Linked DNA regions of Schizosaccharomyces pombe. The gene in region 2 interacts genetically with the main gene of each other region. Each region holds a gene or a part of one and is shown on either strand. Other genes may lie near its edges.

Region 1 (8,977 bases), 2.8 Mb from region 2:
CCAGGCTTGCATATTCCTCCTCCTCCCGGTACCACTACCGTCGTCTATCAAAAGGACGTGCCTCGCTCTTCTGACGGCTCACGGTCTATGACGGCTGGATTAGGAGGTTTCATGGTTGGAGCTTTAGCCGGCAGTGTTCTTCGTGGTCACCGTGCTTACTACGCCCCTCCTCCTCCCAGAGGCCCTTTGTTTGGTCCAAGAATCGGTGGTGGCCATCATGGCCCACTTCATGGTCCTCACGGTGGTTTCGGCGGCCGCGGTGGTGGACGCATGGGTGGACGTGGTGGACGTGGCCGCAGATGAAAAGCGTTGATTTTTATTTAAATTTGGTTCCGATTTCGTCCTACATACTATGGTCGTTGATTATGGAATCGCTCTTTTTTTTTGAGAACATCACTTTCTCCTTTGAATAGAATCACCAAATTCACGTATACGACTCTTTCGAAATTGTTAAATGGAAAACACGATATCCAGTGAAGTTCTTTTTATTCCCTTGAAATTTCATACTATTTTTGCTAATCGTTCTAAAATTGTTATATTCTGTTAGTCGTTCTTTGACCTAATTTCTTGTTTACTTATATTAATTTTGTTATCATCTGATCTTTACTTGTTTCAAGCTTCCTTATTTATTGTACCATTGCATTCTTTATTGGGATTTCGAGGAAAACGGTCTAATTTATAAAATTTCTGTTTAATACCAAAGAAGTAAGGAGCATATATTATAATGGGTGTGAATATCGACGGAGTTGGTTGTCGATGGAATCATTTTTTTGGCATTTATCACTTCGACGTGTATTTACTTATTTATTTATATTTTTTTTTGGTTAATTGTAAAAAATTGGGTGAAGCACAATTTTTGAAACTTTTAAAAAATCAATGGTTGTTTTTTCAGACGTTAAATTAGTTTATTATGCATGATTTAAAATAGTCAATTATATATCTTTCATTTATTATTATCATTGTTTTTTCATTACTAGTTGTCCTTTTTTTTTGGGTATTTTAGTTGAATAGTTTATAGTGGTGTATTACTGACTATATAATTGGCAAACTCAGATATTTGTTTGGTTTTGGATTAAATGCACAATTCCGAAAAAATTAAGGCAGAAAGAAAAAAAATTTTTTTTACACTTATGGGATGTCATACCACTATTTTAAAAGACAAACAGATATCATTTGAATCGTTTAAAACCTGTATTTATCAAGCTGTTTAAAATAAGAGAAATATAACTTGGCTCTTGGATACACATAATGAAATAAGAAAAGTTAATATATTTCAAAATTAAGAAATATTATCTACGGTACAACATTTATTTGTTCATATTACGATTATTCAGTAAGGATACGTAAATTTGTACCTGGCAATTATCAAATGAATGTCGAGGGTTTTCATAGCAATGCAAAACCGTTTGTTTTTAAGCAAAGCCGGCGATTAAAAAGGGTAATAAGAGCAATTTTCCTTTTTCAATTAGCTATGTTTCAAGTCAAGCAGCATTAGTGAAACCCTGATATTCTGAGTTTGAATAAAACAAATTGGCAGTCTATTTTCCATGAACAGCTTTCGATAATTAGTGAAGTACTTTTAAAAACACGTTAATACCACTTTAATGGAACTCGTAAATTCGTAAACTAGGAATGACGAATTATGGTTTGGGGCAATCACGATATAGTAAAATAACGAAATTTGCATAATGCTACTACCACTACATCAGCCTCTTATGTAATGATCTGTAGCGTATCAGATTTTCATTTCTTTTATAATCGTTCTATACCACTGCGCGATTTCTCCTTTTCCCTAACAGATACAGCTTACCACCAAAACTTTCTATCTTTAATACTCGAAAAATTAAGTATATAGATCTTAGAGAGTGATTTTTGAATATCTGCCTATAACATTTTTCTTTTCTTTGGTTAGAATCTTTCTAAGCCTCTATATCGTTTATATAGGTTTTTACTCTGTGTCTTTACAGAATTAATCATATAAAAAATGTCTGTCTATCAAACTCGTGAAGGTTTGCCCAGTGGATGGGTTGCTCAATGGGATGCTGAATATGGAACATACTTTTATGTTAACGAGTCAGCTCAAAATCCACAGCCCCAATGGGAACCACCAGTCGAAAATCTGAAACTTGCTCCTCCTCCAGGAGCCACAAGCGTTAATACAGCTGTGTATAATAACAATAACAATACTTCTGCTGCGAATACGAATGCTGCATACAATGCTAATACTGCTGCAAATGCCAATGCTAACACTGCCACGACTACCAATGCTGCCGCTACTACCAGCGCTGCATATAACCCCAATGCCCCTGCCAATACCAATGCTGCATACTATCCTAATGCTGCTGCCACTACCACTACCAATGCAGATGGTAGTGATAAAGGGCTGTTCAGTGGGCTTACCTCTTCTAATGGCTACACCACTGGCAACTCTTACAGTAGACCAAGCTACGTTGCTCCTGTCGCTGCAGGGTTAGGTGGATTGGCCTTAGGTGGCCTGGCTTCACACGCACTTGGCAATCTCTTTCACCATCGTGGTCATAACGGTGGTGGTTTCGGAGGTTTTGGTGGTGGTTCTGGCGGTCCTCCTCCTGGTCCTGGTGGATTTGGAGGCTTTGGAGGCTTTGGAGGTGAAGGCCATCATCATGGTGGTCACGGTGGCTTTGGAGGCGGCCCTGGAGGTTTTGAGGGCGGTCCTGGTGGCTTCGGAGGCGGTCCTGGCGGCTTTGGAGGCGGTCTTGGAGGTTTTGGAGGAGGCCCCGGAGGCTTTGGGGGTGGTCCTGGAGGTCATGGCGGTCCTGGTTGGTGAGACTGAGAAACATGGAACTAAATATTTGTTTATGAGCTTTTTATGTGAGTATATTGCGCAATAGATATTAAGTCGATACCGTTAAAAAATTTTTTATGTTTATACTCAGTTATTTTGCTAAAGTGAAATTGAATTTTATTAAGGTAGGACTTTCTGAAAGTATTAAGTAGAGCTGGGCAATTTTAGAAGTGCACATAGAAAAGCTCGCAAGCAAGCAATTTTGATATCCCTGTGTTGTTGTTTTTTAGGTTTATGTAGGAATGATTCAATGCAACAGTTTAGATATAGGTAAACATAAGTGCTGTATCTATAGCTGTGGAAACAATTCATGCTTGTTCATACGTAACATTTTATGCGCAAGTATTAAAAGATTCTAAAAAATATCTATTATGTTCATTATCTCGCACACGTCAAACCCAGTCTACTTCGAAATGCGTACGTGTATACTTTGGCTGTATACAATCTGAAATTTGAAATTTAAAGCTGTCAGATTAGCTTCTATTAATATTGCGTAAATCGGTTAGTTCAGAGTCTTTTATCCCAATACTTCGTCAGATTTGTATACTTTCTTCATTAAAAGTACATGTTTATCTTAACATAGAAGAGGTAAGTACCGCTAATTAACCGAATTGCAACTTGTAATTATAACAGCCAAATCATTTCAAACCAGAAGAGTGCAAGTTTAAAAAAAAAACCGATAGAACAACATACAGTGCCGCATTCAAACTACACATACATAGGGTTTCATCTCGTGGTATATAACGAGTCAATAGAGCATTCTCAATGTTAAAAAATACGGAATATTGTGGTTCTTTACAAAACTCATTACCTTCTCAATAGTACCACTAAAATCAGTGATAACTGTTTCAGAGGCGTCCGTATATACCTTTTTTACTGTTGTATCTTAATTAGCCAATTTTCTCGTATCTTCTTTCTATGTTTCAGCTCATTGTTTTGATTATAGCGATGGTGTTCACCGTTGCTGCTATCCTATTGCCGCATCCTTAAACTTCCATAAGCTCTATAGGTGTCAGGTAGACTACGTCATTGAGTAACGAACTACATCAGCGTAAATTTGGTTTAGAATGTATGAGAACTTAGCAACTCCAAACCACAAATATCAACGACAGGATTATAGACTGATACATAGAAGAAACTAGCAGTTCTTTTAAAATTTTTTTAGGATTTAACGATTTATACCTATTGGGGTACTAAGAATTTGGTAGAGTTACTCAAATTCAGTTAAAGACACGGATTTTCCTTATACGTAATTAGTGTCGATTTTCTGAAATCTTGCTTGCTATTTTATAGCTTAGAACGAAAAAGCAGGAATTTGTTTTGTTTTGTTTTTTTAAAAAAAAAAACACTTTATCTTGTGAATTGCTTTGGAAAGTGAGCGTATTCCTCGTAGGAGCTTTTGAATTTTTGATATATCGTTAGCTTGTAGTGAAGGAAACGGAAGCCATCAACGGAATAACCTTGTTCTCCATCATTTGCTATCATTCGTGAATAGGAACAATAAAGAGAAAAAAAATACATTTTTAAAGAAGTTTATATATACATTGATCTAATAGTGAAAATATTTAACACGAATAAGTTTGTTTCATATGCCTTCGAAATTTTCCTCTAAATACGTGGATACAGAAGCCATTTCAAATGATGATGACAATCCCTTTGCAACCGCTAAGAGTTATTACTCCAAGGATACAGACTTGTCGACTCGGGTAAGTGCTGGCCGTCCTCGCACCTTATCCACTTCGATGGAGGCATCCGCCGCACCAACTATACCAGAATTAAAGAATTTACGTCGACGTGGAAGTCTTGATGAACATAAACAACCACGAAAATTTCTTGTTGATGTTGATAAGACATTGAATGCACTTTTGGAATCTGAAGACACCGACCGGAACATGCAAATCACCATCGAGGATACCGGACCTAAAGTTGTTTCCCTTGGCAGCGCTAGCTCGGGTGGATATCGCTTGTATGAGCTTCGCGGCACATATCAATTGTCAAATTTACTTCAGGAATTGACCTTGGCAAAGGATTATGGACGTCGATATATTTTACTTGATGAGCGAAGACTTAATGAAAACCCTGTGAACCGACTTTCTAGACTCATCAAAGGTACCTTTTGGGATGCCCTTACTCGAAGAATCGATGCCAGTGTTTTGGATGTTATTTGCCGTGATACCAAAGACCGATCAGGATCACACGTGAATCGAATTTATGTTCCTAAAGCCGAACAAGAGATGTATGAATACTATGTTCGCGCTGCTAAGGAAAGGCCTTACTTGAATTTACAGGTCGAATATCTGCCGGAAGAGATTACTCCAGAATGGGTGAGAGATGTAAATGATAAGCCAGGGTTACTTGCACTTGCAATGGAAAAATACCAAGATGATGAAGGCAATACACATCTTCGAGGTGTGCCATTTGTCGTTCCTGGTGGCCGGTTTAATGAACTGTACGGCTGGGACTCTTACTTTGAATCACTGGGTTTGCTTGTTGACGATCGGGTTGACTTGGCGAAAGGTATGGTGGAGAATTTTATTTTTGAAATTACCTATTACGGTAAGATCTTGAATGCCAACCGCACTTATTATCTTCTTCGCTCCCAGCCTCCATTTTTGACCGATATGGCCCTTCGAGTTTATGAACGTATAAAAAACGAAGAAGGATCTTTAGACTTTTTGCATCGGGCCTTTTCTGCGACTATAAAAGAATATCACACTGTTTGGACTGCCACTCCACGACTGGATCCCAAAACTGGTCTTTCCCGCTATCGCCCTGGAGGACTCGGTATTCCTCCGGAAACTGAAGCTTCTCATTTTGAGCATTTGCTTCGTCCTTACATGGAGAAGTATCATATGACTCTTGAGGAGTTTACTCATGCATACAATTACCAACAAATTCATGAACCCGCGTTGGATGAGTATTTCGTGCACGACCGCGCAGTTCGCGAAAGCGGGCATGATACTACTTATCGGTTGGAAAAAGTTTGTGCTGACTTGGCCACCGTGGATCTGAACTCGTTGCTATACAAATATGAAACCGACATCTCACATGTGATTTTAGAATATTTCGATGACAAGTTTGTACTTCCAAACGGAACTATAGAAACTTCTGCCATTTGGGATCGTCGTGCTCGTGCTCGTCGTGCTGCAATGGAAAAGTATCTTTGGTCAGAAGCTGATTCGATGTGGTATGATTACAACACGAAGTTAGAAACGAAGAGTACTTATGAAAGTGCTACTGCTTTCTGGGCCTTGTGGGCCGGTGTGGCAACTCCCCGTCAAGCCGCAAAATTTGTTGATGTTAGTCTTCCCAAGTTTGAAGTTGCTGGAGGTATAGTTGCTGGTACAAAGAGAAGCTTGGGTAAAGTGGGTCTTGATAATCCCAGCCGTCAATGGGATTATCCTAATGGCTGGAGCCCTCAGCAGATTTTAGCTTGGTATGGATTGATTCGATACGGATATGAAGAGGAGACTCGTAGACTTGTATATCGTTGGCTATATACTATTACTAAATCGTTTGTTGATTTTAATGGTATTGTTGTTGAAAAATATGATTTGACCAGACCAGTTGATCCACATCGTGTTGAAGCTGAGTATGGTAATCAGGGTGTCAATATCAAAGGCGTTGCTCGCGAAGGTTTTGGATGGGTTAATGCCAGTTACGAAGTCGGCCTTACATTCTGTAATTCGCATATGCGTCGGGCTCTTGGTGCTTGTACGACTCCTGATGTTTTCTTTGCCGGCATCAAGGAAGAATCTCTTCCTGCTTTCGAAAACCTTTCCATTCATAAAAATTAAGTTATCGTTTGCTTGAAAAAAATAATCGACTTTGTCTACTTTTTTAGTTGCCTTTAGCTTTATTCTCTTATTATGTTATTTTGGTTATCGACCGGTTAAAACCCATTGTTATGTTACATGTTATACCTTCCATTAAATCCTTCTACTATGAAGGTTCTATTTGGCGAATATTCCCTTACGAAACAATAGTTAATTCTATTTAAATTTATGAGTAAAGCTTATCACCAGCGATATTATTACTTTTTTACTTAAAAGAAAGAAGTAGTAAATGAATTTTTTACCTTACGATTCAATTCTAATTTATAATTTCCATGATAGTACTGTTGTTGCAGTTTTAGTCCGAATATAACTCTAATGTTTAATTTGGTGTCTATCACTTTATTAGTTTTTTTTTTGAAGGAATTGTCTTCTAGAAACTTATTTTGAGTTAATGTACCGTATTATGTCGTTCACATTTGTAGACAACATAAGTTGGCCACTTCCTTACACAACAACAGTATATTATTAAAATGTGTTATGGTTCGATATTCATTAAGAAAGGTAAGAGATGCTTAAAGAGATAAGGATATGAGTAAATTTAGTGTTTGAAGTTCGTAATTATCGTTCGCTTTTGAATGTGAATGTTAACAAAATTAGGCGCATGAATACGCCCGAGATGGGGAAAATCAGGAAGTTTTGGGAGAAATTTCACAAGCAATTATGTATTATGGATTAGCAAAAAGTCAGTTTGAAAAGATATGTCAGAACACAGCTCAGCCTCTTATTAAAAGATGCGCAAATAACCAAATCGAAGAGTTGATGGTTCGTATACGCGAGTTACGAGAATCATTGCCAAACAAACAAACACCAATATCAATGTCAATGTCTACGAGATTATCACCTATGTATACTTCTTCATTAACTCCACGATTTACGTCCAATTCAATGGTTTTACCAGGTGATCATAATACTACTGTTCGACTAAAACCAAGCTTTCGTGAAGCTTTAATGGAAGATTCTGAGGACGATTTATATCAAATGTATTCTAAATTCGAAATGCAGGTTAAAAAGCTGTCAACCAACTATGGACTTGCAGTTGCTTTTTCCATCGTTCCCATGGATGATGATCAGCCATCACCAAGCATATTTAGCTCCGATGAGAGTTTTTTGATCGTAGAAGGTGATGATTTTTCTCTTGGTAACAGCGTTGAAGAAGATGCCAATGCAACAAGCAAAGAAGATCCTGCCTATCAGAATACGAACGAGCAGATTCAACCGCTATCGAATTTCGATATAAGTCAACAAGAATATTTAAATAATACAAGGATTCCATATGAAAACGAGGATTTACATTTACAACACATTACTCAAGGAACTACAGATGATAACAATGTATCCAAGTTTCTTATTCCTTCATACAATGATGCTAAGGAATTATCTGAAGAGGAGATGGGAAGAAGTCATAAAAGGGAAGAATCATTTAAAAGAGCATTTGGTCACGCATCAAGTAGCGAAAGTAGTATTGGAGAGATTACGGATTCTAGGGAGGATATTCAGTCAAACCGTCTTGTTAACGGCTCTTGGGAAAATAATGATTTTACTAAGGAAATAAACAATAACTTCCCTGATAGATCTGAAACGCCAACGCTCCAAACAATTGAAGCTCCGACCAAACTCATGAAATATACCAGACGCAAAAGTCTGTTTCGGTTTCCATTTTTTCGTTCAATATCTGGAAAGAAAAAAGAGGAGCCTATGGAGTCCGGAACTGATTCACTTGAATCATCTACGGCACAGATTACGGTCGATTCTCAATTGAAAATCAAACAGCTTGAAACACAAATCGCAACTTTACAAAAGCAACTGGAGCAATTTCAAACCAGTACTCTCGATCAAGATCTTCACTAAATGTCATTACTCGATTTACTTATTAATTCTTTAAAGAAACGGCAACTGATCGAAAATCAGTTTTCAAAGCAATACATTATGTTGTCTCTGCAAAATTCTGTATGTTTCGTTAAATTGTGCCTTAGTTTTCCTTTTGAAGAGAAATGCATGGGGAGGCAAAATTACGATGACATGGTCTGTGGCGAGCCATCCTTAATGGAATCAATACTTATTTTGGCTTAGATATGTTCTCTGCGCATACCATTATATTTGGGATTTTACTTTCTCTTTTTACCACCTGAAGTTCTGAAATAAATTTTTACGTGCTTCTATAACTGAATTCGACTACGAAAACTAGGATGAGGATGGATGGCTCTGATTTTGAAGATCGAAAAGTTAGTAAACCGAGCCCGGTATTACCTTTTGATGTTAGCAACATTGGTGATTTGAGTCAAGGGGTACACTCACCGTTGGGTATTTCGCATTTCGA
Region 2 (9,455 bases):
GGCAAACTGACAGTGGTAACAAATTTTGCGGTTGTTCATAGGTTACAAATGCGTTGTAAACAATAAAAATCATCAATCTACAATAATATTTTTAAAATTACAAGGCGGAAAATAAATCGTTTTATCTTTTGTAACTGATCACGGAAACTTCGAAGATAACTGAAAAGAGCTAACGTCGTTTGAGCAAATCCGAATATGCATTGAACAGACACCGATAAGCTAGCTAGCAGACTTTTAATTTTACAAGATTTGATTGGAACTTGTTACAATCGTGATAGCGTTACATTACAAGAAATGAGAGTCAGAGTAACCTCAATATATCTTCTAAATCATATTAAACACATTTATTGTTAGTAATAATATTTCAGGAATTTGAAAAGGAAAATATTAACGTTGAAACTTTTAATACATTGTATAAACTTGATAAAACTACAATTTACCGCTCGTCAATCAATCTGGAAAATTGTTGCTTAAATTTTTATAAATAGTACATTATTATTAATGTTATAACCAAACCTTATAACCTAGTACTGAAACACTAGAATTATTCACCGTATATTCTATTTAATAGAGTCGGTATGGCTTTCCCATAGTCGACTTGATAACTAAAGAACCAATGTTTTGCCAGCCCTTTTTCAACAAAGAAACTAAAAAGTTAATGGCCAAAGACAAATTGGCAGCTAATTGTTCTTCAGCCATATCGACATGACCGACAGCAACGCCTAGGCACAGCACTTTTTTGAGTTGGAACTTGATAGTTGACTTAACTTCAATAATTTTACCATATAAATCGTCACTGTGAGAAACAGGAGAAGGGAATTTACCGGCTATAGCCATCGAGTTAGTAACTCTTCCTTATCAATCAAAAAACTGAAAGGTGAGGCCGTGCGGTTCATTCGCTCGTATAAACTGTATATGACTACTTTACAAGCATAATAAAAGAACTCCAGCAAACTACATGCTAGAGCAGTTTTATTAATTCATCTACAAATCGACAAGAGCGCAATGCAAAACAGTGGTCAAGATAGTCCATGCATATCTGATCAATCTGTCACACATACCGCAACAACCGTTAGAAATAAACTTACCTTTAGATAAACCAGGACCCAACAAACGAGGGATTTGCTTAATAAGAACTTCGGAAGCAATGAAGGCGTCATACTTCTTTGCCAACTTTTTCACAAGCTTCTTATTTTTATTTAACTTTTTCAAGTCATCAACAGACATAGCATCAACACCTCCGTGCTTAGCACGATCAAGATCATGGGCATCACCAAGAATGCATATACTCATGTTAGGACGGGGGACATTGGGCAACTTGATAGTACCAGAGAAACGCTTGTCACGCTGAGGGTCATAGTTCTTCAAACCGATCTGAAGCTCTACTGTCTCAGTAAAATTACGTTTTTTCTCCTCTGAACCCTTGAGAATGGTTTCAACACTAGAACGAATATTGGCAGGAGAAACTTTTGACATCTTCAATATTCAGAATGCAATATAACAAAATTTAAAACGTTTTCAGTTTAACATTAACTTCTACTATCTTTGTGACTGTTTCTATATAGCTCAGCTTCAGTACACAATGGTATTACAACGAGATCAAGTACGGTTCAGTAAAAATACACTAATGGCAAATCGGTGCTTCAGTAACGATAATTATCGACAATGCGAGTGTGCCTTGAGTATGAGTTACAGAGTACTTTTAAAAAGTATTTTGGAAGGTAGTTTTTTGATGATGCGTGTAATGTCACAGAAATTAGCTGTGAAACTGTTGAAATCAAAGCATACATAAGTATAATCAAAATTTTAGCTATACGTCTTTGGGATTTATATCAAAAAAGAATTCTGCCCTATTGATGGCTGCTTAAAACAATCAATTCAAGCAGATGCCTGTTATTCCTCACCTGAAGGGTTTGGTTCATACTACAGATTTAGAGAAAACATTTAATAAAATAATGAAATCCAAAATGCAAATTCATGTTGAAAATTGTAGTGTTTGAATTTTTTAAAACATAGCTCAAAAGGAAACGGATCTTGAAAAAAATGGTTTACTCAACGACGGTGGACGGGGACGAGTCGATCGGTTGTACGTAGAATAGCCATATTTAGCATACAACCAACCGAATATTCCACCTCCAAGATGTGCAGCGTGGTCAATGAGTGTAAAGTTTGCAAAGGAGGAAAACCCTCGAGAAATTAATCCCCAAGCATCAAAGGCCATGAGGCCTAATAGCGCAACTCCAATTTTAATAGGTATAAAGGGAAGGAAAATAATGGAGACAGAAGCATTTGGGAAGAAATAAGATGTAGCAGCAGCAATAGCATAGATTGCACCACTAGCACCTAATGATCCTGGAGTAACTTTAGTCCCAAAGCGCAAACGATGGTGCAAGAGAGAAGCAACGTTAGAAAAAAGAATCGAAGAAATATAAAATGCAACAAACTGATTATTTCCAAAAACGTCAACAATTGCAGGCGCAAAGGAGTAAAAGGCAACCATGTTGAATAGCAAATGCCATCCAGATTGATGGCTGAATGCGGATACGATCATCGATGGCATATTAATAAATATAGGGTTCATGACAGCATATTTTTGTAAAAATCTATTTAAATGACTAAACCTCGGAGCTCGCCATAACGCAAACACACCGACGTTGATTCCAATTATCGACAATACCAAACTTCGACTAGATGTTTGGGGAATTGGAAATCCGTATGAGCTTTTGGGGTAGTTTTTTCTTCTTTTATCGAGATAATTGGCCGTATAAAAGGTGGCAGAACCAACACCAACAGCAAATGTAATCGGTTTCCATAATGGTGTTGGTTTAATATTTTCAATTCTGATCCATGGTCTGTAATAAAACCTTTTTTGTCCAAATTTCCAGAGTAAACTTTGAAAATTCAAACGATTCATCTGCGTATTAAATATATGTGAGAAAAGGTGAGTAAGGACTATGAGGTTGTATGCATAGAAACGCTAGTGTTGCCTAAGATAGAGAAATAAGAATCCGCTTACGCTTCTCACAGTACCTTAAGATCTTTACCAATATTTATTTAACTTCAAGCAATTTAAGTTATTTCTTTATATATTCTGTCTTACTTTTTATTCTCCTAATTACGTTACTTGCATAATCTTATATAAATATATATGCCAAACAATGTTTTTAACAAGTTAATTAACATAAAAAGATTTAATGAACCATATAGTCACGATTCATTAATCATTTGCTAAACTTGCAATGCTCGAGATAAACTAGAGAATTTACTAGTAAAAATTGTTATAATATATATTAAACTAAAAAGTCCAAATACCATATACAGAAGCAAAGTTCAATTTACTATTTTTAATTTTATTTTAACGCTCTTCATTTCCAAACCATTAAAAAAGAACAAAAAAACAAAATAAAATAACAAACAATTAAACCCGATTAAATTCTCTGTAGACCTTTAAAATATATGCTAGTATGCATATTTGCAGTGATATTTCTTTCCCCCCCCCCCACTTAAGTACTCCATGTGGGTTAAACTTAATCTTTGATAAATACCATTTCCCAAACAGCTAACGCCCAAGTGTTTTCAGTTATTCGCCATGGGATGTCCAAATTGCGGTTCAACTACTTTTGAATCTGATACCGCTTCTGGAAATACATATTGGTAAGTTGTTTTTTTTATTATATAATTTTAACGTGGCAATTGACTGCTAACCATTGAATAGTACACAATGCGGTGTTGTCGTCGAGCAAGATGCAATTGTTTCGGAAGTGACATTCGGAGAGGCTTCAACTGGTGCAGCTGTTGTTCAGGGTTCTCTTGTGAGTAATGATCAAAGTAAGTTAGAAGGCAATCATCCAGCAATGCGGTGTTTTACAGTTCTGATGCAGTCACCTTTTTTTGTTCAGTCTGTGTTAAATTTTGGTTTGATCTTTTACTAATAGACACCTCTTCGTCCATATTTTTCATCGACTTATATCTAACACAGCTTTAGCTCATGCTCGGACTTTTGGTGGCCCTTACAGAAATCAAGGATCCGTAGAATCCAGAGAACTTACCATTGCAAACGGACGTCGCCGAATTTCGGCATTGGCAATTGCTTTAAAACTTAACGAACGCCATATCGAAGCAGCAGTTCGCTACTTTACACTGGCAATTAACAACAACTTTATAAAAGGAAGGAGATCGCAATACGTTGTTGCATCCTGTTTGTATATTGTTTGCCGGATATCTAAGACGTCTCATATGTTAATCGATTTTTCTGATATTTTGCAAATTAACGTTTTTAAGCTTGGGTCTACTTTTCTCAAGTTGTGCCGCGTTTTAAGGCCTAATTTACCTCTTTTAGATCCGTCTTTATATATCAGTAGATTTGCTTCTTTACTCGAATTTGGACCGGAAACACATCGTGTCGCAAACGACGCTATCAGATTGGTAGCGCGAATGAATAGAGACTGGATGCAAATTGGTCGTCGGCCAGCTGGAATTTGTGGTGCATGCTTACTCATTGCAGCAAGAATGAATAATTTTCGACGAAGCGTACGAGAAGTGGTTCATGTCGTGAAAGTTGCGGATATCACTATTCAAAAACGCCTTGATGAGTTTAAATTAACTGAGAGCGGTGATCTTTCAATCGCCGACTTTCGAAACATTTGGCTGGAAGGACAGAGCGATCCTCCTAGCTTTACTAAAAATCAAAAGTTTCAACAATACGGTGCTCAAAAAGTTTCAAACATTGATCACACACAAGAATACATGTCCCCTATTAAAAGGACCCCGGATTTTGATGGCAACGAAGTTAAGTCTGAAGAGCTTTCGCAAACAGTAAAAGTTGAATCTCAAGAAACTCCTGTGCATTTGAAGGCCGATGAAAGAGAAATTAGGAAAGAGGTTACTGAAACCCTTAAGGGCGATGAACTTAGAAAGATTTCTCTACAAGTTAACGTTAAATTTTCGGAGGAAGAAGTTACCTTAGAAGACGTTGATGATGATGAAATTGAAGATATTTTGCTTGACAAGGATGAAATATTGACTAAAACTCAAGTTTGGATGGAGTTGAATAAAGATTATTTAGCTGAGGAAGAGGCGAAAAATTTAAAACTCCAAGAAGATTTAAAAAAAGGAATTGTCCGACAACCTCGTAAAAGAAGACGATATCGTCCTAGAGATAGCACTAGTGATGGAATAGCCGATACTGCTGCTGAAAGTGCAAAAGAAATGATGCAACAAAGAGCTTTTTCAAAAAAAATCAACTATGAAGCTTTGGATATGTTATTTGACGAAGAGCAGTCGTAACTTTTTACTAAATTTGGGCAATTGGGAGTTTTTTGGGGCTATTTAAGAACATTCGTTTTTTTGTTGTACGATAATCCTTTTTTATACATTAATTTATTAATTTTAGAGTTTATTTAACGATTTATTTATAAGGATTAATGAATCTTTATAAATAATTTTAATATTCATAAAAAAGGCCGCATGAATTTTTAGTTTTTTTCTATCACTGAGTAATTATTAGTATCCATCTAACGAAAGAAAATTCTGTGTTTAACAACTAAACACTGGTAGTAGATTAATCGTACACAGCTTTAAAAAGATTTGTTAAAATGAAGAGAGATTCAAAGGGACCGTAGTGCCACTACCACCCCGATAAACTTTAGGGACTCCAAGAAAGGGATGAGGAATTGGTAAGTAACTATCATCCTTAAAGTGGAATCTTCCATGATCATCAACTAGAGTTTTGTGTTAATAAAAAAATAATGCTTTTAATGATCGCAAACTTACCACGATTAGGTCGCTGCTGCAAGACGTAAGAAGATGGAGGAACTGGAGGAACAGAAGCTGAAGGAATGGATGGACCTCTATTAGGAAATTTAGGAGATTCTGATGTAACGTTAGGTGCATGTCCTGCTGGTGGAGCAAAAGAAGAAGGGCGTGATGATGTATTAGCAACAGGAGCTTGAGATAGAGGAGGTGGAGGAACTTTAGGTGGCATCGGAGGTACCGCTGAGGGCAATGAAGGAGCTGAAGGAGGAGATTTCACCGGTGCAGCAGGTTGTGCAGGTGGAGGTAGAGACGATGGAATAGGAGGTGCCTTTGAAGGAATAGGTGGAGCAGATGCAGGAGATGGTGGAGGAATTGAAGGTCGAGGGGGCGCACTTGTTGGCGGACGCAACTCAGATTGTGGAGTAGGAGGAGCAGGAGCGGAAGGTGGTGCGGCTGAAGCACTTGACTTTCCAATATGACGAAGCTTAGGCATGCCGCCAGCAAATAAACCTCCTAATGCAGGCATGGAAGGTCTCTCTTCTGCTTGCTGAGTATTATTTGAAGAAGTCGGTAAAGAGGGTGCGCCTGTGGGTACAGGAGGAGCAGCAAAGCTTTTTGGAGTGTTAGATTTACGTTCGCCTACGACACCTCCTCCGACAACGGGAGCCGATCGGTCGTTCGTTGTAGCTTTTTTTAGTTTCTTTCCTTTCTGGATAGAATTGAGCAGAGCTGATCGATCTCCGGTCATTAGAGGGGGGGCCGGAGCAGCAGCAGCAGGCGCTGGTGCTGGAGGAGGAGGCGGTGGTGCAGGTGCCATTTTATAAGAAGGAAGAATTAAAAATCAAAAATAAATCTTAACAAGCTTGAGGTCTGTAATCAAAATAGTAGATAATTCGCCTGTACACCTAACAATACAATAAAAGTAAAAGTTAAATTATCAGATTTTAAATGATTTTACAAAAAATATTCGCTATATACTTTGACAATAATAAATATAACTCAAAATATAAAGTGGAAACACGGGTATGGGTTTTAACTATGAGCTACCCTAAGCTTTCTACCACCACCATGCACTACAAGTAACAGGATTGTACCTTCTAGTGATTATTCAATTTAATGCATCTTAGTACAACACCATACGTATTCTGACCGGAACCAATCTGGAAAGTTTAGACTGGTGAATTTTTGAGGAATTTAAATAGATTTAATGTCGGATTCTAAAGAAGACATCCGCAACGGTCAAGAGGAAGATGATTTGTTTAGTGAGAATGAAGACAATCATACTTCGCAGCAAGATGAACTTATAAATGGCCATATAGAAAACGATAGTGAAACAGCCGTTAGCGATGACGGCTTGTTTTCGAATACAGAAGAGGCTACTGAAGCCCCTGAAGCAGAGTAAGTTGCAGTCTTATAGATGAAGCGAATTGATTCTAGCCGATGGTAGTTCTAAATGTGTATTTATTATACAGCTGCCACAGTGGTGAAAGTAATAAATCGCTTCATGAGGCTTTTTAGTAAAAAATCAAAAATTAGCGTCTTTTACTATAGCAAGCTATTTAAATCTATGCATCCTAACAAATGTTAGTGTTCCTGTAAAGAAAGTCCTTGAAGTCGCTGTTCCCAATTTCAAATCACCAGCTTCTGCTAGTAATGACGTGTTTCATGCTCATATTCCAAATTTCCTTTCTGTGGAACAGACTCCGTACGATCCAGAGCAGTACGCCGCGGAAGCCGAAGCAGATGCAGCTTTATTAGAACACGACGCGCATTGGGGTCAAAGAATAAAACATAAAGTTGATAATACTGTCCGCTGGCGATTGGGGCCGTCTGGAAGCTATCAATCGAATGCGCAAATTGTACAATGGTCTGATGGTTCATATTCACTTCGCATTGGTAACGACATATATGATACCCAAAATAAATTAATATCTCAACCAACTTTTGTTACTGCCTCACATGAAGCACAACATTTACTGAGAGTTCAAACATCCTTCAAAAGCAGTTTTACATTCCTCCCTTCAGCCATTAACACTGCTACAAGATCAAAATTGCCATCTATGCGTCTCACCACAGTCCAGGTTCCTAGTCGAAGCGTACAAGAAATTATTATTGAAAAGGATCCAGAACTACTAAAGCGTCAGGCTGAAAAATATGAGGAGGAACGAAGTCGAGCTCGGCGACGTTTAGAGAAAAGAAAGCAATTGAACAATTATCAGAATGGAACAGGAGAAGAAGAAGAGGATTACTCTTCCTTCTACGGTCCCCGTTCTACTTATAGCGAACAAAATGAAATCATTGACAGTGACCGTATGGATCGTTTAAAACGAATTAAACAAGAAGGAGCTGGTCAATATCGTGGTTATAATAAGGATCTGGAAGAAAATGAAGAAGATGACCTTGGTGACTTTATAGCGGAAGAGGAAGAGGAAGAGGAACAAGAAGAGGAACAAGAAGAAGATGAAGAGGATGAAGAAGAAGTTGGAGCTGGCTCCGATATAAAAGGATTTGATGCGGATAAAGAAGCAAGTGTAGCACGAGCTACTATTAATAAATATGAAGACGATGAGGTAATTCCTAGCGCAGTGGAAACTGACAGATCCGAGACCGTTACAGAGACTTCTGTCGGTGATGGTTCTGTACAAAGAAGAGTGAAGCGTCGGATTGTTGAGAGCGATAGCGAATAAATCCAAACAGCTTGTAATTCAATTTTTGTAAATAGCCAATTTGTTTGTTTGCGAAGTATGGTCTCTGTGTTATTTCGTTGATTTAAAAGATGTTTATTAATTGTACATTATTCTTATATCTTGTCTAATTTTTAACGCAATGGGATTCACATGTACAATAGCGAGAATTGTAGTGAGCAACTATATAAAATAAAACTACTTTTTTTAAAGCAAATATGGCGGATTAGGTGTTGAGATGTATTTCTGTGATCATTAAAGCGTGATATGAGTTCCTACCACAAACTATCATATCGGTTACCTTTGGAAGAGCCTGCTTGACCGTTGTTAATATAAGAGTAAGCAGAACGGCTAGAATTGTTTAGCCCTCCACGAGGCCTATTTGCTTCATGAAGCTCTTTTCTATGTGCAGCAAGCCTTCTTCGTTGTTCTTCATCTGCAAGTTCTTGCATTTCTTTAGCCCGTAGCTTTTTTTGTTGATTTTGACGTTGCCTTTTGGTAAGAGGTTCAGTGGATTTCTTTTTGCCGTACGACCTGGAGCTGGTAACAGTTTGAAAGCCATCATCGATATCGTTTGAAGAAAACGAATTATGTAAAGAGTCATCTGCTGTAATAGCGGCGAGAGATATTGATGACTTCATTTTCAAAGAGGAAGGGGTAGTTGAATGTTTCTGTTCTAATTTTTGAGTATCTTCAACGTCCGTAGTATCCTCCTTTTCAGCAGGATTTTTTCCGACCAATTTCTCCTTCTTAGGAGACTTTACTTTCTTGACTTTATGATTTTCTTGGAAAATTTTAGGTGTGCCCTTCTTTGGCACTACCACGGGTTCCTTCTTTGAAGAGTCTTTCGATTTCGACTTTAGGGCATCTGAGGTTTCCAATTTTTGGGATTTTTTAGAGGGAGTTTCTCGATTAACCAAAGTATCCTTCTTAGTGTTCTTTTGTTTCTGCCTCTGTTTCTGTTTACCCAACTTAGTAAGCTTAGACTTTTGAGGTTTGGTAGCTAATTTTTTATCA
Region 3 (6,828 bases), on a different chromosome or scaffold from region 2:
GAAAACAGTTCAAAAAGGGATTTCGTCCTGTTACTTTCTCAGCGCCAGGTAAGCTCGTGGGCGGTACTTTACTATTGCCAAAAAGCATGATACCTAAATAAAAATTTAAAAAAGAGGAAAATTTGATTTTCGTGACAAAAAAATAATGACTTTTTCTTCTTAACTATTTATACCACCTTTAAAAATACTGAAGCTATGGAAGTTGGATTTTTAGTAACTTTCGACACATTCAAATGGTGTTTTATTTTCCTTTTTTTTACCTGGAACATTTAAGCTGATTATATTTGTGAATGTAAGACGCATACGGACAAGGAATTTTGGTTTTGCATAGAGGGTACTTAGTTTTTAATATTTGAACACATTTAACGTAATTTGAAAATAAAAATGGTACTATTATGAAAATGTTCAAAGGAACAAACTATAGCAGATGAGCGAGCGACGAGAAAAAAGAAACACAAAACAAATAATTTAAAAAGTATAGTTTACTAGTACTGAGTCCGCATATTCATGAGTAAACAATACTACAATAAGCAAGCAAAAACTAGAAAGCAAAGTCGAAGAAATAAATTAAGTAAATCTTTATCTTCAATTCAATTTCATAGTTTTGAGTAATAGTTCATCTCAATAACAAAGATTTATGCTATTGAAAATATACATATTACCCAATAGTATCGAAAGCTTTATCTTGCTCATTTATTCATTTAATGAGACTTGAGAAAATCAGGCTTGGCAAAAGAATCGGCGATTTCTTGAGTGGAGGCGGTATCCCAGAAAATAGAATCAGCAGCCAATTCTTGCTTCAAATCATCGAGACGAAGATTAGGATCATGTTTTTGCTGAGGAAGCTCATTTCTATCAGTTTGATCCTTGTGGTAAGAAGGGAAAAGTTGTTGGTCAAATTTGTAACCAGTTTGAACAGCTGCTAAAGTTAGTAAAAACTGCTTTCATCTAAACAGGAAAAAAGGTAGAAAGGAAGTAGTTTCTATAAAAACAGTTTTCCATTAAAAGTATAAACATGAAGAAAGAGTGCTTTATAGAAATTTTTGATTAAGGTATTAATAAACAAATCCACTCATTTTTTTTTTTTAAATTTGATTCACGTACCTTTGCGACTAAATGATTGTTAGTTATTATACAAAAAGACTAAAAAAGAGTTAAATCATCAAATGCCGTGCTGCAGTACAATTGTATTATAAGTTTTCAAAAAAGTACTTAGACCTTTAAGCCCTGTCTCTTACAAAAAAAGATAGCAGAACAATCAGCATTTTGGATAATTCAACGTTTAAAAGTAAAAAATTGGATTAAACTTACACTCTGGCTCCAACATCAAAAAGAGTAGTTTGAACTAGCTGGGGAAGTTCGTCATGATCGGGAAGCTTGAACGTTTCAGACATCCTGGATAAGTAAAACAATTAAAAAGTATCAAACAGGGGGAAATTGACAAAGTATAGTTAAATATAGGTAAAGACGGAGTGGTGAATCACAAATGCTAGCAATTACCAATCGCAGAGCAATCTTTTAATTTTCAATGATTAGGTGGTAGATGGTAAGTAGTTTGGGGTTGCGATTGTAGATCATACGAATTTTCTGTGACTCGAGACAGGTAACACTTTTTCTATTGTTTACCTATGGAAAAAAAAAACAAAACAGTGTAATGCGATACATATTTCCTTTAAACAGTTATGTTATGGGTATCATGAGAAACTAAATTTTCATCTTCGTAAAGGAGGGTTCTTTTTTAATCGTCTTTCTTGGAATTTCTTCAAATCATGAATTCAACTTGCATAAATGGATAAGAAAAGTTGGTTGTAAGAATCTATAGATATATATTTAGCATGTTTCTTTTATTTAAACGAATATTCCTTTTAGAAGCGAGTAAGCTTCAAGTCGTATAGAACGCAGACGATATTAAGCCTAATAGGATCTTTAACGCTTAACTTAATAGCAAGCACAATGAGTTTTAGATAGCTGAGTACTTTAAAGCAACCTAACTTCCCTTGCAGCTAAAAAAGTTTATTGAACTTGATTTAAGACGCTCTTCTTGGACTGAGCAAGGACTTCAAAAAAGCCCGCATTCGTTGTCAAAGTTTTATCTCATCTAACGACTAAAGTAATATGAGTCAATGCTCATATAATATACAGTCGAATATTTTTTATATTTTATTACATTTATTTTCCCAAGTAGTTTTTCCAGTTCATTCTAAGTAACTTTTATCGTAGATGAAATATATCCTGTAGAGAGCTTTTATCCTCTTCCTGAACGAGCAATACGTTTTATTAATTTTCAATTCCTCAACAACTAAAACCACATCCTTTTATCAATCTTAATTTTCACTATAAATCCGTTCAAATTACCTAGTGACAAACTGTGTGGTTTTTGTTTCAAATCTGAAACTCACTCAATTAATCATAATGATTTTTTAAAATGAGTTATCATTGCCCATTTTACAGCTATTCACTCAATTAATCACTCAATTCTGACATTTAATACGTTTGTTTGTTTAGTTCCGGTTATATGATCAATCGATGAACTCATGAGTGTTTTATAATTTTTTAGTCATTTTTAACGTTGTTTAACTTATAACTTTCCTGTTTATTTATTTTTTTTCTTGTGCTCTACCGAATCCCAGTTTCATTATACATATTCTCTAATCCGTCTTCTAATATTGTACACTTGAACCTAGAGCTAGGGAATCCACCAAGCTTCATTTCAGTAGGTTTTTTCGATGCTTGTTCGCATTGAAAGGGATTATTCGGTTTCAGGAGATAAATATCCTCAATTTCCAACCGATTATCCTGTACCTCTTCGAGCTTATGTGAATCTTGAGGATTGGGATGTATTCATTCACACATTAAACGAGAAACTGAGAGAAGCCTTCTGTCCATGGTCAATTGGAAATCTATTAGATGGAATTCTATCTGTTTTAACGATTTATATCTCGGAGTTCGTATTTGGCAGTATTCATCGTAAAAGAATTGGGGCGATCGATTTGTACATCCTGGACTTTGCAACCCAACATAATTTATACGTTGCCAGCCTTCGCAATATGGGGTTTTTGAGTCTCGTTTTTCATACAAAAGAAACAAATTCGAAAAGTAGTACTCTCCATTCCAATCCGTACTGCCCGGAGCACCATTCTATACGAACACTTCCCTCTGCCGTGACTGCCACCACTTCAAATATCTCAACTTCTAGTTCTCACAGAAGTGATCTGCCAAACGAATGGACGAATTCGACCCTTTAGACGCTGTGCAACAAATTCATGTTCAAGCAAGACACCCGTAAGTCTCAATTTGCTATACAAATAAGCTGGCAGAATCAAAAGACTTAGAAAATGATTGCTACCTTTATAAACGCACAAGCAATTAATGCAAATTGTAAGAAAAAACGATGGATAGCTGCTATTAAATTTTCATGAAAAATTTTTAGCCTAATCGCCATTTGTTGGATTTCGTACTGATATATATTTTTGCTGATTTTTACTTGTTTTTCCTTTTTGCCTTGCTTTTCTTTTATTTGTATGTCATCGAATGGAAAATTTGGCTAACACTAATTTCAAGAAAGAATCGGTTGCTGTCAATTGCACACGATGCCAAGTTTGTCGACTCAGTTATAGCTTCGTACCCCACATTTAAACCTGTTGTAAATGAACGATGCGGTACGTGGTATGTCAACCGACGACATGCTCCGATTTCTGTTTATTTCAAAAGTACTGATGGTCATACCGGGCAATGGTCTTTTAGCTGTCGTCGTCTCAATTTGCATTTGCTAAATGAGATAACCACTTGTGATGGATTGATTATAGTAGATTCTACTCGTCGTGGAAAGAGAATGCCCGATGCTCTATCAAAGACGATTCCGATATGGATTGCTACGCTCAATAAATGTGTTTTCGAACGGCTTCGTCCCCATTCCTTTCCTAATGCTCGTTTGGCCTTTTTACCCCCGTTTTTACCTGATACAGAAAAATCATCTATTTTACAGAGGCTAGATGGATTTGTAGATTCTTTAATGCAGTCCGGCATTGACTTAGATGCGTTGGCGGCTAAGCTAACTAAACCCATTCGTCCTTTATGGGTAACACCTGCTAGTCGTTTAACATCTGCACAATTTGAAGAATATTTTACAGTTGTTCTGGTTACTGCAAGTGCTCAAGTACAGAATGGGTACTCCCGAGAACATGGATTTCTTTACGTTCAAGGAGCAGCAGATGACGAAGAAGAATGGTCGCATGGGCTGACCCCTGAAGTCTTTTGGCAAAATACTGAATCTATCCTCACATGCCCAGAGGAGCAATTGGAGCAAAAAATTAGCCTCCTACTATCTTCAACTAGAAACTCACCTACCATGTCAAATTCTTCGTTAACCCATCTTTTACCAACTCCTATATTTGTTGGGGATGTTACGGGATTTTATCCCCCTCCAGAAAATACATCTTACTTTGTTTTGAATTTGTCGAATACCACCCTGAATGTGAAGAATGAACTTTGTTTTCCAATACCGTCAGGAAAAAAAGGTGCTCCGGTGTTTCGCAAGCATTTCCCTTCAATATTGCAAGAATTAAATTCACTTGATCCTCCATTTTATGAGAGAGATGCTATATTTATTGTCGATGAAGGAAATGCTAAAGAAGCCGCCTCTTGTCTTGCATTGATGATTCTTTGTTTATACTACGACCTCCATATGCATTTACTTGCCCATCCTATATCTCTATCTGCATCTCAGTCTCACCTTACCAAGCAAACGGTTCGCCAATTTCTGGTAAAAATTACAGAACTACACTCCAAAACAAATCCCTCACGAGCATTCCTTCTTGCCGTCAATTCCCTTTTACTTAGTGCCAATACTATTGCTACTTCTTAGTAGTGGCACTTGGAATGGCAAAAATGTTTACGGTAAATAAAATAACGTAACATGAATCGTTTCCTTAAACGAATCCCAATGTCAACATTAAGCTCAGTTTGCTTTTTCCGTTTCCCTGATTGTTAAAACTTTTGAAAAATATCTGAAAATACGAGTAATTGAGTTTGTTCATACATTTTAAGACTTTAGAGGCTTTGAAGGATGTTGATATTGTTTGATTAGGATTTCATGAAAATGCCGAATACTCTGCATTCAGTATCAATCTCTACAGATTTTCCTTCCCCAAATGTAGAATCGGAAGCTGCAGACGTGAATGAATATTCCTCTACTTCAAAATTTGAGACATTGGGTAATCAGAGCTCTACAAACCTCGGTTTTTCGAACTCCTTACAAGATAAGTGGGATTGCTGGAAACGGGATTTGTGGTCTATTTGGTGGTCCTTAAGTCGTAAGGCAACGAGATTTTATAGATGGTTGTCTCGATCGTTAAAATGGCGTCCAGTTACTTACGAAACAGTATATCCACAAACTTATGAAACTCAGATGTCAGAGCCTAGAGAAGTTACTACAATTGTAAAGGATTTAAATAATGGGGATTCTTTTGTCTTAAATGTTACTGAACCTGTTGACCCTGAATTTTTGCGTGCCAATATACCTCCTGTTCATCGTAAACATCTTCCACCCAGACTTTCATTAGTCGCTTCTCCGGGAACTATTCCTACTCGTGGAGTTGTTGTATTAGAAGATTGGATTAATCCGCTACTATCCGAAAGATGTAAACTTCTTTTACAAAGTGAGCTTTGTAACCAGGATTCTTATGATTGTCCGGGTTATATCTGCGTTTACAGATTTGAGCAGAAAAATAACCCTTCGGTCGTTTTAGGTGACTCTACCCTCATCCAAATTTCCAGAGTTTCTGACCTTCAGCGACACCTTCGTGAGTACCCTAAAAATTGTGCCTTTTCCAGGTCGGTGTTAGAAATTTTCCCGGATCCCGGCAAAACTTCTAAGCCATGCCAAGTGAGTTTCAAGGTTGAAAGGTTAGTACATAAGGAATTAAATGAGTATCTTTCTTGGATGCAACCTTTTACATGTGATTCTTGTGGATCACTTCATGAGAATTGGCTCCAAATTGACAGTAAACAGTGGGACCAAATTCGTGGTGTAATATTACGGTGGGTAGAGTATTCTCGGGTCATTTATGCTTGAATCGTTTTTTGTTTTTTTTCCTATCTTCTTACTTGTTTTGTTTTTATTTTGAACACAGGAGATTTTATTTTTCTCCCAAAATACTTTATAATTAATATCTTCTTTGAGGCACTTAAAGGATTTTTTAAGAGTTTTTACTGCCTTTTCTGGGTTCCTTTCTTTTTATTATCGCATAACTGGTAATGACTTTTTCGAAAAGTTTAATTAATGTATAATAGTAATATCATCGATTTTAAAAAAAAAATCCGCATCTTGTCTATCATGTCTATTGATATCTTGAAGTAGCAACGTGTTTCAGATCAAAAATTTTATCAACATCTTCACGTTTGTCTCACATTAAATACCTTTGACCTGGTGTAACTGATACACAAAATTTATTCAGAAAGTTCAATACTAGATAAAGAAGCATAGCCTGTTGCAACACCACCTTCATTAGTTTTTTTGGGTTTGGTACGACAAATGAAACCCGACTGTCCATTTTGAACGACTTCGTCAGTCTTGATGTTCCAAACGATCGTACCTAAAATACCAATTTCGTCGACGACATCAAACTTTTCAGGTCTTTCTCCCTTCAAAATATAGTTTTGTGATGGAACGGCATTTATATAGCGCATTAAAATGTAAGAGTCCCATTCTTCCTGAGGCATTTTGCTGAGTAAACCAGGAATGTCTTTTCCATACGTATTGTTTCCACCACCCTCTCGTTGAGGCTTTAAGACAAAGTCCTCGGGTTTTTCGAATGCGAGTTTAATACC
Region 4 (7,761 bases), on a different chromosome or scaffold from region 2:
TTTTCCTTCTTTCGAAATTTTTTCACCTGGTGATATTTTGATTGCTCTCTACTTTAAGTAATTTAATCATGATCTCTATTTTTTCTACAATGCAGTCTTCGTTCATTTACAATCTAGTTTCACTAAGTGAATTGGCAGTAGATATATAGAAGCGTACTCTGCATGTTATAGGTAGCTGATGTTAGTTCCAGGAATGTAAAATCGTTATAGGAATTTGTATTGATAAAATTCTATCTTGTTAGCGTGTGAACTTAAACAATGATTGGATTACATACCTTGGTTTAAAAAATGCTGAGAAACAAACTTCAAGGGTATAATCAATTTTCAGCTGATCTTTTAAATTAACAGAACGGCAAAATTCAGGTATTTTGATTTGTGCGTGGATTGTGTTTTTTAGAGTCGGTGCCAAATTGGAATAAACAGATTTATTAGCAATTTTCCAAGTTGATTTTGCCCTTGTTTTCGTCTTAGTTTTTTGATAACGCTTCAAGTATCCGCAACTCGCGAATGTTTCTTCGGCCTGGTTCATACAATAACCACCGTAATGATTTTGAGTATTAGGGTGAAAGATATGAGTTTCCAGCAATCGTGCTTTTATATTATGAATCTTTTGAGAGTTAGCGATTAACTGTTATCTTTAGTTTAATTAATTTACTAGACTTTACCCTTCTGTGATGATTATGAGTGTAGCAAATGGTAAAATCGATGATTTGACCACTAAAAAACAAGGATCTGTCCGTATGAACCTCCAAGGTAGTTTTTGCTTCTTCTAATGAAAGATAGGGTAGGCTTTTAATGCATGAGATCGGGTTATATAGCTCCGCTATATTATTATGCATTGAAGTGATTACCCGTTTAGGAATTGTACAACGAGTACAGCGAATATTTTGATCCAGAGATGTTAAAGTCAGCGTACTAAGATGTCAGTTACTTTTTTCGGTTTAATCTTTTACCTTGAAATATAGTATAACAGTTCTAATTTCGATGAATGATAAGTACCTGGACCTATATCCAAAGGAACGATGAAGGAGAAAGGAAACCCAACTTTACAAGAACATTTAAGGAAAAGGCCCTTGTTGCCTATGCTGGCAGAAGCTGCCTTTGAGAGAATCAGTGCAGATGTCTTAAGGTTGCAAAACGAGTACTTTTCAGAGATAGAATAGAAAGGTTCTGAATGGCCTTTAAAATTCAAAATACCATAGAAATCGAGAAACATTTCCTTTATCCAAACACCGGTTTCCACGTTTTTTGCCCCTTCGTAGGATAACCAAATGTTGCCATGTAACAAGGATCCAGCTATTAAGGAAGTATCAGGAATCGTTATTGCTACTTTTATACCATCACAATTTAAAACTTGGTTTTCAAAGATTTTTTTTACTTGTAAATTAGATTTTCGAACTGGTGCATCAGCTTCAGGATAAAAAGACGATTTCCTATTCAGAATATTCGGTCGTAACACATCAGTTTTGATGGTTAATATTTCTGACTCTTCACTTAATATATAGGGATCATCAAAAGGATTTTCTATACTTGACAATGTTTTAGATGTCAATGGATCCGACAAACTGCAAGTTTCACTGTTACTAAAAAGTTCTTCTGTCATTAGCACGATATTAGGTTGTTATCAAAATGAATGTATATTTTTATTTATTGGAAATAGTTGTTGGAGAAATCTTAAACTGATATTTGCCAATGAGGTTGTTTACTCGTCAACATCATACTCGATGGTAAACATTCCAAAACAAAACGGTAACTTAGTTGGTAAAAAAACAAGCGCAAAAAGAAATATACAAAGAAATTGTAATAAAATTTTGTAAAATATAGATACTTAATGTCCACATTATTTGACTTATCCGTAAGGTCATTTGAAGATCATGATAAAAATATTACTTTTTCGTTTGCTGAACGTCGGTGTAACGGCCATAGCCTTCAACCTTCGGTTTTTCGTAATCAGTCTTGGTCATAAGCATATTCATTCTTTCTTTTATACTCATAGGTTTTTCGGGAATTACATCGCCCTGCTCAGCGTTTGGATTCGTATGCTCTTTTTCGGGTTTAGAGACACGTCGTGCATTCACAGCAATAGACATACTGGCACGTCTTCCCACCACACCTCGTTCTGTGGCCATATTGGTTGGAGGTACACTTTTGCTTTCTACCTCGCCTAGCCCAACTGGAGCATTGGAACTTTGAAGACTAGAGGGTGTAGGCGCAGATATATTGTTTTGTGGGTTTTCCACAGATTTTAAGTTTACAGGTTTTGGGACAGGAGCGGGAGCAGCAGCTACCTTGTTTAAACTTGATGTATGGTTGTACCTATCAACCAAACGGTTAACACTAGTCCTTGGCTTTCCCGAAGCATTACTAGCTGAAAGAGGTTCACTTTCTATAATATTTGATTCTTGACTATCAAAAGATTTAACATCACCAGTAAAGACAGCTTCGTTTGTAGGAACAGTTTCTTTAGCCGTAGATGAAAACATATCGTCAGCCAGAGCTAATGTGCTTAAACGAGGAGTCGTAGGAGATATTTTAGGTTTTGGCTGGACGGGTGGAGGTGGTCCATAAGTATGACTAGGTGGTGCACCTTGGGTAACTCGGAAGTTGCTAGGTAATTTTTGAGTAGAAGGTACATTTGAAGTATGTTGACCGTACGAAAACCTTGAGACAGGAGAAGAAGTGTTTCCATTATTATTATGATCTCCGTTAGAAAGATAAGGCATCGAGTTTACATTGGGTAACATCGGAGAAGCCATTGGCTTCATAGCAGAAGCAGGCTGAGGGAACACGGATGATTTACTCTGGTGAATTCCACTGTTTTCTAACTTGGAAGCATGTTGCAGATATTCGGAACCAGAAGGATTGCAGCTGGATACATTTTTACCGTTGTATATGTCGTAGATATGTATAGGAACATTACGCATCTTACAAATCTCACAAAAGGTTTGGTAGATATTAGGACGTTGCCAAGGATATTGCTGCAATAAGGTTGAAATTAGTCGCTTTAACCGATCTGAATAAGGTGGAAAGGTTGGAAAAGCGTAACTAACATTCATAATAGCAGCAAGCCCTTGATGTTCAAACGGAGTTGTGTAATAGCATAGTTTATAGAACAAAACCCCTAGCGCCCAGATATCTAAAAGCTAGTGTTAACGAAATATATTCTAATAACGTTACAAAGAAACCATACCACTTTTCTCGTCTATCCCAAATCCTTTATGGACATTAATCATTTCAGGGCATCTATATTGCCAAGTAGTAAATTTTTCGATATCATATTCTAGCTGTTTGGCCTCAGCGGCCGTTTTAGCACCCGGTATTGGGTGACATGCACTACCAAAATCACACAGCTTGTACGAATTTGGGGCAGCTAGTAACACGTTTTCAATCTTGAGATCTCTATGAATTAACGGAGGCTTCAAGTAATGCATTACTGCAACCGCTTCAGTAACATCAGAAGCTATTTTCAAAATTTCTTGTTCTGATAAACGAACTTGAAGTCTAGTGTTCAGAAAGTCAATCAAGCCTCCACAAGGGCAATACTCCAATAGTACAAGGACCTCGAATTGATTTTTTGATGTCCTAAAAAATTCCGAGCCATAATATGAGACACACCGTTTTTGGTTGCTAACAAGTTTCTAAAGACAAGTCGTTAGTTTATAGTAAAAAATTGGAGAGCAACAAAATACAGGATAGAAGGACATACCATAGTCCGTACTTCTTCGTGCACAGCTCGAAGGGCCATAGCATCCGTTGCAAAGATACGTTTCAAAACTGCCTCAAACGGTGGCTTTCCTGGGAAGACCAATTGTACCAAATATACATGAGAGAAGCCGCCTAAAGATACGCTGTTAACATTTGGAAGCTGATGATTTTACATACCTTCAGCAAGGTATCGTTTTACTGTAACCGAAAACTTTTCCACCGTACAACTAAAACCAACAGGCAGAAGACCTGAAGGTAAAGAAGATACTGGAAGCAATGAAGTGTTGTTTGTTTCATTCATTGCAAAAGAAAGTCTGCTGCAACCAGATTTACTCAATGTAAATTTGGTGGTTTAGGAGCGGAACGTGGGTTAGGATATATAATATATAAGTGAAACAGGTGATATTCAATTATTGGCCTTTACTGAATTATTCCTTTGTATAAATTGATACATTCGATAGCCTTCATATGATAGAAAAAGAAATGCATCCAAGCGAGTTCGATTGCATTATTGACAGATGAAGCTGAGTTCAAAAAATAAATACTATGGAAGACAAGACTAGACAAGCATTATTTAAGTTAAAAATTATAGTTATGTTTTCATTTAAGTTTCTTAGTTCTCTCTTCTAATAGTGAATACATGATGGAGTAATTTGTTGCTTCAGGGACTGCAGAAAGACTTATAAAAGGCTGCATTACGGACCACTATGATAGCTAAAGGAAAATTTAAATAGACGAACTCCGTCAAATGTTAACTTAAAAATCTAGTAGTTCATTACATTAGCAAAATTCCTGTCCTTCAAATGCATTGACGACTAACTCCAATAAACACAGCTATCATCCATTGTGAGGATTGGAACAGAAGATACTACCATTAGATTATCTACTTTTAAACAATTAATCTTATGAATTGAAGTAAAGTAAGACAGACCTCCAACTCGCTATCGCTTATATCATAATTAGCATAATTAGATCGCATCGATCAGTTAATCGTGATTTTTCTAAAGTTTGAGGAAAAATAAACAAAAAAAAGTGAAATAATTACAATACATATGTTAAAGCGCATTTTCCCCAATAATGGCCCTACTTAACTTTTTTTGTGGCATCCATTAACAATTGCCTCTTAATATTAACCACGAGATCACAAGAATTAAACCGAGAATTCACGATACTTAAACATTGTTAAATGAAAATATAAATCCCTTGGAACCACTAAATTTACCTTTTTTGCAGATACCACTTGGTGTACTTATCTTAATAAGGGCAACTAGAACCAACATTCTATCTAAAGCAAAGTAACCAGAAAACATTCCTAAATTTTATACATGCTTTAAATTTCTTAATTTTGATATATATTTCGATATCAAGAATTTTGAATGCTTTAAAGTCGTTTGAAGGATATTGCCTTTTAATTTTTGCAAAAAAGAGTTTCCTAAGTCAATATATATATATATACATATATTCTTTCTTTTATGTAATTAATTTTAAAAATTATTTGAACATGAAATTCGGAAAGTAAGGATTTTTTGAAAGTTCTGAAGCTTACTAACTGTACAGGGTTATCGAAGGACAATCTGTTGCAGGTATGCTAGTTTGTAGTTGAAAAATAATTGACGTTCGGATATGCTAATTCGAGTAGAATGGGCTTCTGCTTATTTTGACTACAAAAAGGGGAAAAAAATAATCGCAGGCATTGCAAAGAATCCTTCTGAGGGTCTGTATGGTACTTCAGGGATTTTGGGAGAAACACCTGAAGAAGCCATTGTAAAGTAAGTTTTATTTAATTTGCACTATTGACTAATAAAACAGACGAGGTACGTTTTTTGACATCTCTAAAAAATGCATTTCTAACTGCTTTTGACCTAGGGCAAATTCATCGGTTTCATCCCCTTTTTCAAGAGTTTCTTGACCAACAAGCAAACAAGGTGGAAGAATTTTTTGAAAATTTGGTGTCTGATGCGCGAGAAAGAATGGATCTTATTAGCGATCAGGTCGATATATATGAAAAGCTTCGTGCATTCAAAAAGGGGACCCTTGAATCGGGATCTGTTGTATTAATACAGAAACAGCACTCTAAACTCAGACAAAGGCTTGATTCAATCCTCAATTTTTCTCGACTTCAACCTGCTTATCATATCCCAGCTAGGAAGAGTGTCCCAACTGATGCTTATACTCCGATGGTCAGTTATCGCAAACTGAAATCTAAATTGAAAACGGTATGCCTCAGTGCTTTTTTCCTTCATAGTATAGATGTTTGTAAATTTGCTAATTGTTTCAACTAGACATTGCTGGACTTTTATGATTATCTCAAATTGGTTTCTCAGTACCAGCATCTTAATCAACAAGCCTTTCGAAAGATTGTCAAAAAGTATGATAAAACATTACATACAGATCTTCAGGGCTTTTGGGTTGATTATATGAGCAGATATACGTTCACAGATTTCAGCATCACTACAAATTGGCAATTGCATGTTGAAGACATATATGCTCGTCTTTTTACCAATCATAACAAGAAGCTTGCTTTAGAGCATCTTAAGTCATTTCGTCAAAAAGAGGTAAGTATAATTCAGTTGCATCTGGACTTTACGTTATACTCTAATTACTAACTTGGGTTATTTAGCACTTTTCTGCAAACTCGATGCGATTTGGACTCTTGTTTGGTGCAGGTTTACCGTTGGCTATAGAGGCTGCTTGCTATTATAATGCTACTGAGCAATCCTCCTACCTTCTTCAGATATGGGGAGGTTTTTTTTTAGTAATTTTTGCGTTCGTACTGTTTGATTTAGACTGTTACGTGTGGGAGAAGACACGGGTTAACTACATGCTTATTTTCGAATTTAATCAAAGAAAATCTTTAAACTGGCGTCAGCATTTGGAGATCGTAGGAGCAGTCTTCTTTATTTTTTCGCTGTTCTTTTTCCTGTGTATGAGAAATTTCTTTCCTGGCTTCACAATATATTTTCCGGCCCTGTTTTTGGGAGTAGTGGGCACGTTTTTAATAGCCCCCGTCATTGTTCCCTATTGGAGAATGCGAAGATACTTGATAATTCAGCTTATCCGTGTGTTTTTATCTGGGCTTTCTACTGTCCATTTTCAGGATTTCTTTTTTGCTGATCAAATGGTTAGTCTAACTTATGCATGCGGTAATATATCTTTGTTCTTTTGCCTTTATAAGCGACTTTGGCGACAACCACAGCTTTGTAACTCATCACATTCTCCCTTGCTAGGTTTCTTTACCACATTGCCTGGCATCTTACGTGTTTTTCAATGTTTCCGAAGATATTCAGATTCGTTGAAAAGCTTTCCACATCTTGTGAATGCTCTAAAATATATTTTTAATATCCTCGCCCAAATGTTTTTAAGTCTGTGGAGGATTCATCCCGGCTTGAAATATCGGGTTTTGTATACTATTTTTGCTGGCGTAAATTCACTTTTTTCTTATACGTGGGATATTTTGATGGATTGGAACCTTTTGGTTCGAAAGGATGGTCGTTGGCAATTCCGTGAGCATCGAATTCTAAAACAGTTGTGGCCGTATATTATAGCTATGATCTTAAATTTTATCGTTAGAAGCTCTTTTATATTCTATTGCATATTTCCCAACCACATTCAGCACTCTTCAGGGATTAGTTTTTTTGTGACCCTTGCTGAGATCATGCGGCGTTGTATGTGGAACATCCTTCGTGTGGAGCACGAAGAAATCTATAATAGGGTAAGTTCGCTGGTTTGTGTTTACTTTTATTTATTTTTATTTGATTCAAATCGTCGCATACTAATTTCATTATAGGAAAATTTGCGGGCCGCTAGAGAACTTAAGCCTTTGGATTTTGTTAAGCCACATAGTGATGTCTTCGTTTCTCATCAAATATCTTCTGATAAGAATTATACAGATGATGAAGATTCGATGGATGATCAAACAGATGTGGATGAAGCTCAGTTTTCTTAGATAGAACGTGAAAGTACAAGTTATTTTTTTCTTTAGTTGTATTTTTTTTATTATTCTTATCGGTATTGGGTGTTTGCTCCGATGATATTAATGCTGTTTTATTGTGTTTT

What was found.
Region 1: mutations in vrp1 (region 2) and ntp1 together harm fitness less than expected from each alone (positive genetic interaction), as found in Schizosaccharomyces pombe (one large-scale study listed by BioGRID).
Region 3: mutations in vrp1 (region 2) and mug113 together harm fitness more than expected from each alone (negative genetic interaction), as found in Schizosaccharomyces pombe (one large-scale study listed by BioGRID).
Region 4: mutations in vrp1 (region 2) and ppk38 together harm fitness more than expected from each alone (negative genetic interaction), as found in Schizosaccharomyces pombe (one large-scale study listed by BioGRID).

Annotation. Positions count from the first base shown.
Region 1 is NC_003423.3:202,665-211,641, forward strand, and holds ntp1 (alpha,alpha-trehalase Ntp1), read left to right. Parts: upstream 1-3,916; 5' UTR 3,917-4,413; coding exon 4,414-6,621; 3' UTR 6,622-6,977; downstream 6,978-8,977. Other genes in the region: protein wwm3, read left to right, coding at 1-303; protein wwm2, read left to right, coding at 1,985-2,806; protein Atg38, read left to right, coding at 7,138-7,161, 7,258-8,508; protein mug168, read left to right, coding at 8,847-8,977.
Region 2 is NC_003423.3:3,052,591-3,062,045, reverse strand, and holds vrp1 (verprolin), read right to left. Parts: upstream 6,782-9,455; 5' UTR 6,572-6,781; coding exon 5,773-6,571; intron 5,721-5,772; coding exon 5,590-5,720; 3' UTR 5,287-5,589; coding exon of another isoform or gene 3,986-5,286; intron 3,971-3,985; 3' UTR 3,829-3,970; coding exon of another isoform or gene 3,716-3,828; 3' UTR 3,655-3,715; coding exon of another isoform or gene 3,590-3,654; 3' UTR 3,243-3,589; downstream 1-3,242. Other genes in the region: rpl102 (60S ribosomal protein uL1), read right to left, coding at 565-827, 1,089-1,476; rbd1 (rhomboid protease), read right to left, coding at 2,018-2,914; transcription factor TFIIIB subunit Brf1, read left to right, coding at 3,590-3,654, 3,716-3,828, 3,986-5,286; RNA polymerase II-associated Paf1 complex protein Leo1, read left to right, coding at 6,962-7,152, 7,343-8,441; SPOM_SPBC13E7.07 (uncharacterized protein), read right to left, coding at 8,714-9,455.
Region 3 is NC_003424.3:2,825,083-2,831,910, reverse strand, and holds mug113 (protein mug113), read left to right. Parts: upstream 1-4,981; 5' UTR 4,982-5,092; coding exon 5,093-6,073; 3' UTR 6,074-6,328; downstream 6,329-6,828. Other genes in the region: rRNA processing protein Faf1, read left to right, coding at 1-101; spd2 (ribonucleotide reductase (RNR) inhibitor family), read right to left, coding at 702-919, 1,105-1,112, 1,312-1,394; palmitoyltransferase complex subunit Erf4, read left to right, coding at 2,727-3,245; rit1 (initiator methionine tRNA 2'-O-ribosyl phosphate transferase), read left to right, coding at 3,224-3,282, 3,562-4,864; glutathione synthetase large and small subunit Gsa1, read right to left, coding at 6,448-6,828. UniProt on the Schizosaccharomyces pombe protein: Has a role in meiosis.
Region 4 is NC_003421.2:2,388,517-2,396,277, reverse strand, and holds ppk38 (Ark1/Prk1 family protein kinase Ppk38), read right to left. Parts: upstream 4,060-7,761; 5' UTR 4,007-4,059; coding exon 3,883-4,006; intron 3,838-3,882; coding exon 3,707-3,837; intron 3,639-3,706; coding exon 3,191-3,638; intron 3,137-3,190; coding exon 1,887-3,136; downstream 1-1,886. Other genes in the region: arrestin family membrane adaptor Mug170, read right to left, coding at 182-230, 276-607, 666-915, 954-1,603; spx2 (SPX/EXS domain-containing protein), read left to right, coding at 5,207-5,220, 5,263-5,288, 5,345-5,474, 5,515-5,519, 5,572-5,921, 5,988-6,260, 6,326-7,417, 7,493-7,651.